Linked DNA regions of Mus musculus. The protein of the gene in region 1 interacts with the protein of each later gene in a pairwise test. Links are inferred from orthologs where the notes say so. Each region holds a gene or a part of one and is shown in the gene's direction. Other genes may lie near its edges.

Region 1 (4,023 bases):
TATATATCTGACATAAGAAATGCAAAGCTGAGAACCACAGACTCTGATTCGGACACAGCCATTTGTCCCCAGAACACGGAAACCCTTGCAGAAATTTCTAGAAAAGTGCAGCAAGGGATTTGCCACAGGGCTAGGGACCCACTGGCAGATAGGTGATCCCCTGAAGGATCCTCGGCGGGCTGCTGTGGCTGTGGACAGAGGCAGGACTCAGCCTACAGAGCTGCAGGGAGTTTGTCCATTTCATTGGAAGACAACACTAAGAGGACACTTGGATCCTAAGACTCTGTAACAATAACCTAGTTACTCCCAGAATTTATTTTTGAAAGTCAGGGTCTCACTATGTGGCCCTAGATGGCTTAGAACTCACTATATAGACCAATCTAGCCTAGAATTCACAGAGATTTGCCTGCTTGTTCTTTTCGTGGGAATTAGGATGGAGCCCAGGGCACCACAGACGCTTGACGAGGGCGTTACACACTGATTTGCAGTCCCACCCCCACCTTCGTTTTGGGGAGCTGGGCTCAAGCTGTCTTCATGCTTCAGTTGCTGAGGGTCCAGGAACTTTTTCTTTTCGAAGAAGCCACATGAAGACTCAGGGCCACCCTTGGTAGGAGGCAGGAAAGCGAAGGGTCGTTGTCCACCCATTTTCCGTGTTTCTCCCTATCTCTGGGTCACCAGATCACACTCCAGGACTTCTGCCTCTGTCTTCACACCCTGGCCCGCTACCACCCATCTAACACCCACACTTTTGTCTTCTCAGCCTTCAGCCCATCAGTCCAATGCTCTGCCCCAAGGCCGATCCAGACAGACCCTCCTCTTCCACCCCTCTCCCCACCCCGCTGTCTTTGTCCGCAGTCACCTTCTGTCTCTCTCCGCTGCCCTCCTGGATCCCTCCCCTCTGTCCAGTACTCTGCCTGATCCTAGGCCCCTGCCCTTAATCCCTCTGATCCCAGCCCCAGACTTTATGGGCCCCTCCCCCTCCTTCAAAAGCCACGCCCTCCCCACTTCCTTCAGTTGCCTCCCACTGGGTCCCCCCTTCAGAAGTTCCTCCTCTTGACCTCCTGGTGCCCTCCCCTTCCTCTGCCCTTTCACCCCGCCCAACTCCCCCCTCCATGTCCGCCCTCCTCTTCTTCCCTCTCGGGGTCCCCTCCCTCTTCCCCGCCCTCCGTAGCTGGCCAGCAGGGGGCGCTGGGCAGAGGCGGGGCGGCGCGGGGACTGGCCGCGATGGGACCGGAGGCGGCGCAGACAAAGGCGCGGGCGGCGCGGGGCGCGCGGAGGGCGCGGGCCGGAGGCTGCAGCGACGACGACGCGGGGTGAGCCAGACAGGGGGACCCCAGCTTCCGAGGCACAATCAGGGAGTCGGGGGCGCAGGAAACGCAGACGGTTTCCAAAGTTGCGGACTGTGAGGCGGGGCCCAGGAGCTGCGGGGTGCAGGCTGAGGGGTTGGGATCCTGGGGTGCCGGCTAGGGGGCCGGCTCAGGTGCTGGCTGGGGCGCGGGGCGCGTCTTCACCGGGTTCCTCAGCCGAGGTCCGGGTGTTGGGGACGCCGCATCGCGAGGCTCCGCCACTTAGAAGTTGCGGGTCAGCGGCTCCCGTAGTTGCCCTCACGAGCTGCCCTGGAGGGAGTGGGAACCGGTGCCAAATGGGAAGCCGGCGTGGGGCTCCTGGCAGGGTCCCCGCCGCGCGCGATCGCGGTTCTCCGCCCCGCGCCTCTGCTCCAAGGCGCGTGACTACTCAGTGAGTAACTTTTCCTGATGGTGGCAAGTCCAGGCAGGAGTGGTCCGACCGGAAGGGCCTGGGTTCGGGGACCCCTTTCCCCCAATCTCCGCCAGTTCCATTAGCGTCTCTGACTGGACAACCCCCCTACCCTCCCTCTGTATGGGAACTTAGGTTTCGCAGCTTCCCAAGACAGCTTGGAGGGGCCCTGACCTCAGACCCCGGGTCTTGACCTCCCGCACCCGCAGGACCCTCCTTCTCCTCCAATCTCCTTAGTTGAAATTTGGGGGACTTAGGAGAATGACAGGTGCAAGCGTTCATAGGAGGCTGGGGAGCTCCGTTCTCCCGGTCCTGTTCCCTGTTCACATGGTGGGGACTAGGATGAACCGCTGTGTGCAATGCGTGCTTGTGTGTGTGTGTGTGCCTGTGCGTTGAGACATGGTCCCACTCTGTAGCCCAGGTTGGCTTCAAAGTCTCCTCATTCTCCCCAGTGCTGGTGCCACCATACCAGGCTTTCATTTTTTCCTTTTAAGTAAGCTCCCTGGAGACTCAGACACAGAGTTATCTGGGCTAAGTGGTCCTTTCTCTCTCTCTCCTCTCTCTCTCTCTCTCTCTCTCTCTCTCTCTCTCTCTCTCTCTCTCTCTCTCTCTCTCTCTCTCTCTCTCTCTCTCTCTCTCTCTCCTCTCTCTCTCTCTCCCTCCCTCCCTCCCTCCCTCCCTCCCTTCCTTCCTAGAGTTATTTATTTTATTTATACAAGTACACTGTAGCTGTCTTCAGACACATCAGAACAGGGCATCCAATCCCATTACAGATGGCTATGAGCCACTATGTGGTTGCTGGGAATTGAACTCAGGACCTCTGGAAGAGCAGTCAGTGCTCTTACCCACTGAACCATCTCTTCAGCCCCGAAGTGGTCCATTTGTGGGATCAGCGAGGTCCTGATTTTCCTGTTAGGTCCCTGGAAGCACTCCACTTTTACTCCTTGAGATGGGTTTATCCCTCCATGATGACCAGGGAGGCCTTGAACTCCTGGGATGCATGATCTAACCGCCTTGGCTTTCAGATAGATAAAACCACAGGGCCTCACCACGGATCCAGCTTTGTCCCACATTTTGATGCAAGGCCCTCTGGGAGGAGAGGGGGGCTGTTGGATGGGAGGGGATGAATGAGATGTTCCACTCGGTTGATCTTGACCTCATGTTCAGTTCCTGTGGGAGGACACTTGCCCAGTGGTGGGTAACCTGGACAGTGAGTATAATCCTGCGTGCCAACAACCAGGCTATTCTCCAAGCCATATCCTACCTACCCTTGCAGTTTGGTGGCACTGTATCACCTCTCTGGTGACACTAGAGATCTAGAGATCACTCAGTCCAGTTGTGGGGGCTTCTCCCAAAAGCAGGGCCTTTTGTTTATGCCTACAGCTCAGTTGATAGAGAGCTTGCATGGGATGCAGGATGCTCTGGGCTCCATCCTCAGCACCACATGAACCAAGAATGATGGCACAAGCTGCCGTCCCAGCATTTAGGAGGTGGAGGCCAGAGGATCAAGAGTTCAAGGTTGCTGTTGGCTGCAAAGTGATTTCAAGGCCAGTCTGGGCTGGGACTGAGGAAGTGGGTGTCTGACCAGCAGCTGCTCCTTTCCTGCCTCGCTGGTTTTGTGAAGTCACCTGGAGGACCCACTTGGCCTGAGTATCCTTGGAGCCTTACTCACAATCTTCTTCTTTCCCTAGGGGACAAACAAGTGACTCCTGTCACCCCTCTGGGTGCCCCTTAGAGGCCATCCAGCCCAACCTGACCAATGTCCACAGCCAGGTGAGCACTCACCCACTCTGGTCTGGCCTTGCCCCTGGGTGGCATCAGACTCCTGCAGAGTTTCTGTCCCTGCTGTAGGGAACAGCCAATCTTCAGCACCCGGGCGCACGTATTCCAGATCGACCCCACTACAAAGCGGAACTGGATCCCCGCCGGCAAGCACGCACTTACCGTGTCCTATTTCTATGATGCAACCCGAAATGTGTACCGCATCATCAGCATCGGGGGTGCCAAGGTCTGAGCAGGGGTTTGGGGGCAGGTGTGCAGCCACCAGCCAGGCTGGGTGACTTGGGAATCAACGATCCTTTCCCAGACCTAACGTCTTCCAGAAATAACTCAGTGGTGGGGTCTCCGAGAAGGGACAAGAGTTCTACTGCAGCCCTTCACTGGGGGATTCTAGGCAGGGGCTCCACCTGTATGCCTTCCGATAGCTCCTCACTGGGGGATCCTAGGTAGGGATTAGCTACTAAGACAGATGCCTAGAGTTCCTTTTTT
Region 2 (3,519 bases), about 13 Mb from region 1:
TTCTGTTCCCTGGTCCTCGGAGATGTACCTGGGCTTCAGGCTTCTACCACAGTGGGCCCCACTGCCTGAGGCGCCATGTTATCCTCCCATGGTGGGCTGTACTCCCTCAGCTATGGCAGAGTAGAGCTCCCCGAGAGTGTCCTGTCAGGTACTCTGCCACAGTGAGGAGAACGCAGCATGCACTTATGAGGGCAGACAGTGAGTGCACTGACCACTGCTTCCATGCTCATCAGCTTTCTCTTGCTTGACAGAACACTCGGGAGAAATAAACTTACAGGAAGCAGGATGGTTTCAGGGTTGCAGCACTCACCTCATTGCTTCTGGGCTTGCAATGAAGCAGGCCGTGGAGTAGAGCTGTTCACATGCAGGCAAGGAGACAGAAGGAGGAGAAGGGAGTAGGTCTGGTAGCTAGAGACCTGCTCTTGCAGTCACACCCTTCCCTGTGAAGCCCCCTGCTTCCTTCCCAGCAGTCTGATGCTCTGAAGCCATCGCTCGATGAACCCATGAGTGGATTCATTGACCCTCCTGTACGTAGTCACTGCCAACAGCTCAGCTTTGCACTCGGCTGCTAGAGCCAAGCCACATGTCCTCAGGGACACTTGGTGTCATGGTGCCCCATACATAGGTTGTGTGTGTATCTATTCCTGCGACCACTGCAGCGGAGTGTGTCCCCACAGGTCACTTTCCGAAACCCCATCATCGAGCGGATCCCTAGGCTCCAAAGGCAGAAAAAAATCTTCTCCAAGCAGCAAGGTAAGGAGGGTCTGAGCGATCTGGGTTGTACAGCCAAGGACCCCAGGATGTCATGGGTGGTGACCCTACCCTTGCAACTTCAGGGAAGGCATTTCAGCGAGCCAGACAGATGAACATAGATGTGGCGACTTGGGTGCGGCTGCTCCGTAGACTCATCCCTAGTGCTGTGGCCACTGGCACCTTCAGTCCCAATGCATCTCCAGGTGCTGAGATCCGGCACACTGGGTAAGGAAGGAGCGTGTGGCCTGTTTCTCTGTTGCTTCTGTTTCCCAGCGTCCTAGGTTCCCAACTCACCCTCCTCCCTCTCCTGCAGAGACATATCCATGGAGAAATTGAATCTCGGTGCTGACTCAGACAGCTCGTCCCAAAAGAGCCCACCAGGGCTGCCCTCCACCTCATGCAGCCTGGTGAGTGTGCACCACTCCCCTCTGGGCAGGGGAGCCTGGGGGACCTGCTGTTTTTGTTTTGTTTTGTTTTGTTTTGTTTCCAGAAACCTCCAGATGCTAACCCAGGATCATCCAGGAGAACAAGGCTGGTTGTTTGGTTGTTTTTGTTGAGTATAGTTTCAGGCTTTGAACTCTTGAACCCCTCAGGCCCCTGTGTGCTGAGATTGCCATGCCCAATTTATAGGGTAATGGTGATGAAATCCAGGGCTTTCTGCATGCTAGGCAAGTGCTCTGACAACTACATCTCCAGCACTTCCCCTGTTTTCTATACCCATTTAAAATATCAACGTGGAAGCTGGGCAAGGTGACACCAGCCTATCTTCCCAGCAGTGGCATGGCAGAGGCAGGGTTGTCACCACAAGTTTGAGTCCAGCCTAGACTACATAGTAAGTTCTAGGCCAGTTTAGGCTACATATCAAGACCCTGTCTCAGAAACCAGAGCTGGGGGTGTGTGCTTGGAGACTAAAGTTTGCTGAGTAGTATAACTCTTGGGCAGTGTGCTTGCAGCTCTGGGTTCCATCCCAGGCTGATCAAAAGAAAAGAACAAAAGGAACAAAGTGTGAGCTGGTGGAAGAGGGCAGAAAGGTGCCTGTGTGCCGGCTGCACTGGGAGGCAGAGGCGGGGGGTGGGGGTGGGGCGTCTGGAGCGAAGTCACCTCAGCTGTGGAGTTGGATTTTGAGATTGTACTATAGCTTTTCTCTCTCCAAATCGTCCTGTAAACCCCTTCTTCCTCTCTGTCAAATTCATGGCCTCTTTGTTCATTAATTGCTATTGCATGCATCTATGTGTGTATAAATATATATTCTGATATACATCCTGCTCAATGTATATAATGTCACTTTTCTGTATGTTTTCTTTTCTTTTTTTTGTTTTTCTAGACAAGGTTTTTCTGTATAGCCCTGGCTGTCCTAGAACTTACTTTGTAGACCAGGCTGGCCTCAAACTCAGAAATCTGCCTGCCTCTGCCTCCAGAGTGCTGGGATTAAATGTGTGTGCCACCACCACCCGGCGGCTCTGTATGTTTTCAAGTCTGGCCATTTAATTCTAGATAATCAATTAGTGTGGTTTTCCTTTGGGAAGACCCTCTGTCACTGAAAACTTACTTTAATTGGCTGTAGTACTTTCAGAAGGGTTGGGCCTCGTGGGCTTTGCCCCATCCACTGTGGTATATCTGTAGTTATTGTCTTTGTCCAGCTCATTCGGACGGTCATGCTGTTGAGATGGACACAGCCTTATAGCGAACTCCCCAATCCTCTGGCCCTACCAGTCTTTCTCTCTCAGTGTTCTCTGAGCCTTAGGTATGGAAGTGTTTTGTAGATGTATCCACTGGAACTGGGCTCTACACTTCTGCATTTTGACTGAGTGTGGCTTTCTGTGGTAGTCTCCATCTGTTGCAGAGAGAAGTCTCCTTGGTGAGGGATGAGGAACACTTTCATCTGTGGGTACCAGGCAGAGATTTTCAACCTTCCCAATGCTGACCCTTTAATACAGTTTCACATGATGTGAAAAATAAGATTATTTTCATTGCTACTTCACAACTGTAATTTTGCTATTGTTATGAATCATAATGTAAATATCTGTGATAGTCTTATGTGACCCCTGTTAAAAGGTCTCTTGACCAGCACCCAGGAAGGTCTGACCTACAGACTGAGAACCACTGAGAACCATAAATATTTAGAGTGTAGTTAGGGGTTGTGCTGGTTTAGTAAAGCGGTGGCTGTCGGTCCTCCTCCAAGGTCTGTGACCTCACTAACCCTGCGTAGTCGGCTACGTTTCCAGCACCTGGCATTACTTAAGGAGTGAGTCTTTTCTTTTTTTTTTTGGCTTTTTCGAGACAGGGTTTCTCTGTATAGCCCTGGCTATCCTGGAACTCACTCTATGGACCAGGCTGGCCTCAAACTCAGAAATCTGCCTGCCTCTGCCTCCCAAGTGCTGGGATTAAAGGCGTGCGCCACCACCGCCCGGCTAGGAGTGAGTGTTAAGTCCAGTTAGGGAGCTGTTGATCCAAAACACAAAGGAAAAAAGCCACAATTTATATCAAGGGCAAACTGTGTTGCTCTATGATAGGGGTTACCCAAAGAAGTGGAGGTGTAGCTGTCATGAACTTCCTCTAGTTCTGTGGTCATAGATGTTTTTTGTAAAGAAACAAGGAATTGACTTCGTTCTGTGAGTCCGATGAGAACTGCGTGGTTGAGTGATGGCAGCCACGGAGGCCATGCCATAGACAGAACTTGTGTGGGTTACTAGGTACCATACTTCTTTCCTTTTCTTCCCTCCAACCATTTCTAGCTCTGGCAGGCTGCCTAACCATAGGCTGGTC

What was found.
Region 2: the proteins of Homer3 (region 1) and Pkn1 interact in binary tests that used the Homo sapiens proteins (3 or more experiments, as listed by UniProt). The two-hybrid records come from large-scale screens. The link is inferred for Mus musculus from reciprocal best matches to the Homo sapiens genes HOMER3 and PKN1.

Annotation. Positions count from the first base shown.
Region 1 is NC_000074.6:70,281,788-70,285,810, forward strand, and holds the start of Homer3 (homer protein homolog 3), read left to right. Parts: upstream 1-1,211; 5' UTR 1,212-1,224; coding exon of another isoform or gene 1,225-1,313; exon of another isoform or gene 1,314-1,737; intron 1,738-3,446; coding exon of another isoform or gene 3,447-3,514; coding exon 3,515-3,528; intron 3,529-3,606; coding exon 3,607-3,763; intron 3,764-4,023. UniProt on the Homo sapiens protein: Postsynaptic density scaffolding protein. Binds and cross-links cytoplasmic regions of GRM1, GRM5, ITPR1, DNM3, RYR1, RYR2, SHANK1 and SHANK3.
Region 2 is NC_000074.6:83,675,165-83,678,683, reverse strand, and holds part of Pkn1 (serine/threonine-protein kinase N1), read left to right. Parts: intron 1-677; coding exon 678-753; intron 754-836; coding exon 837-978; intron 979-1,066; coding exon 1,067-1,160; intron 1,161-3,519. UniProt on the Homo sapiens protein: PKC-related serine/threonine-protein kinase involved in various processes such as regulation of the intermediate filaments of the actin cytoskeleton, cell migration, tumor cell invasion and transcription regulation.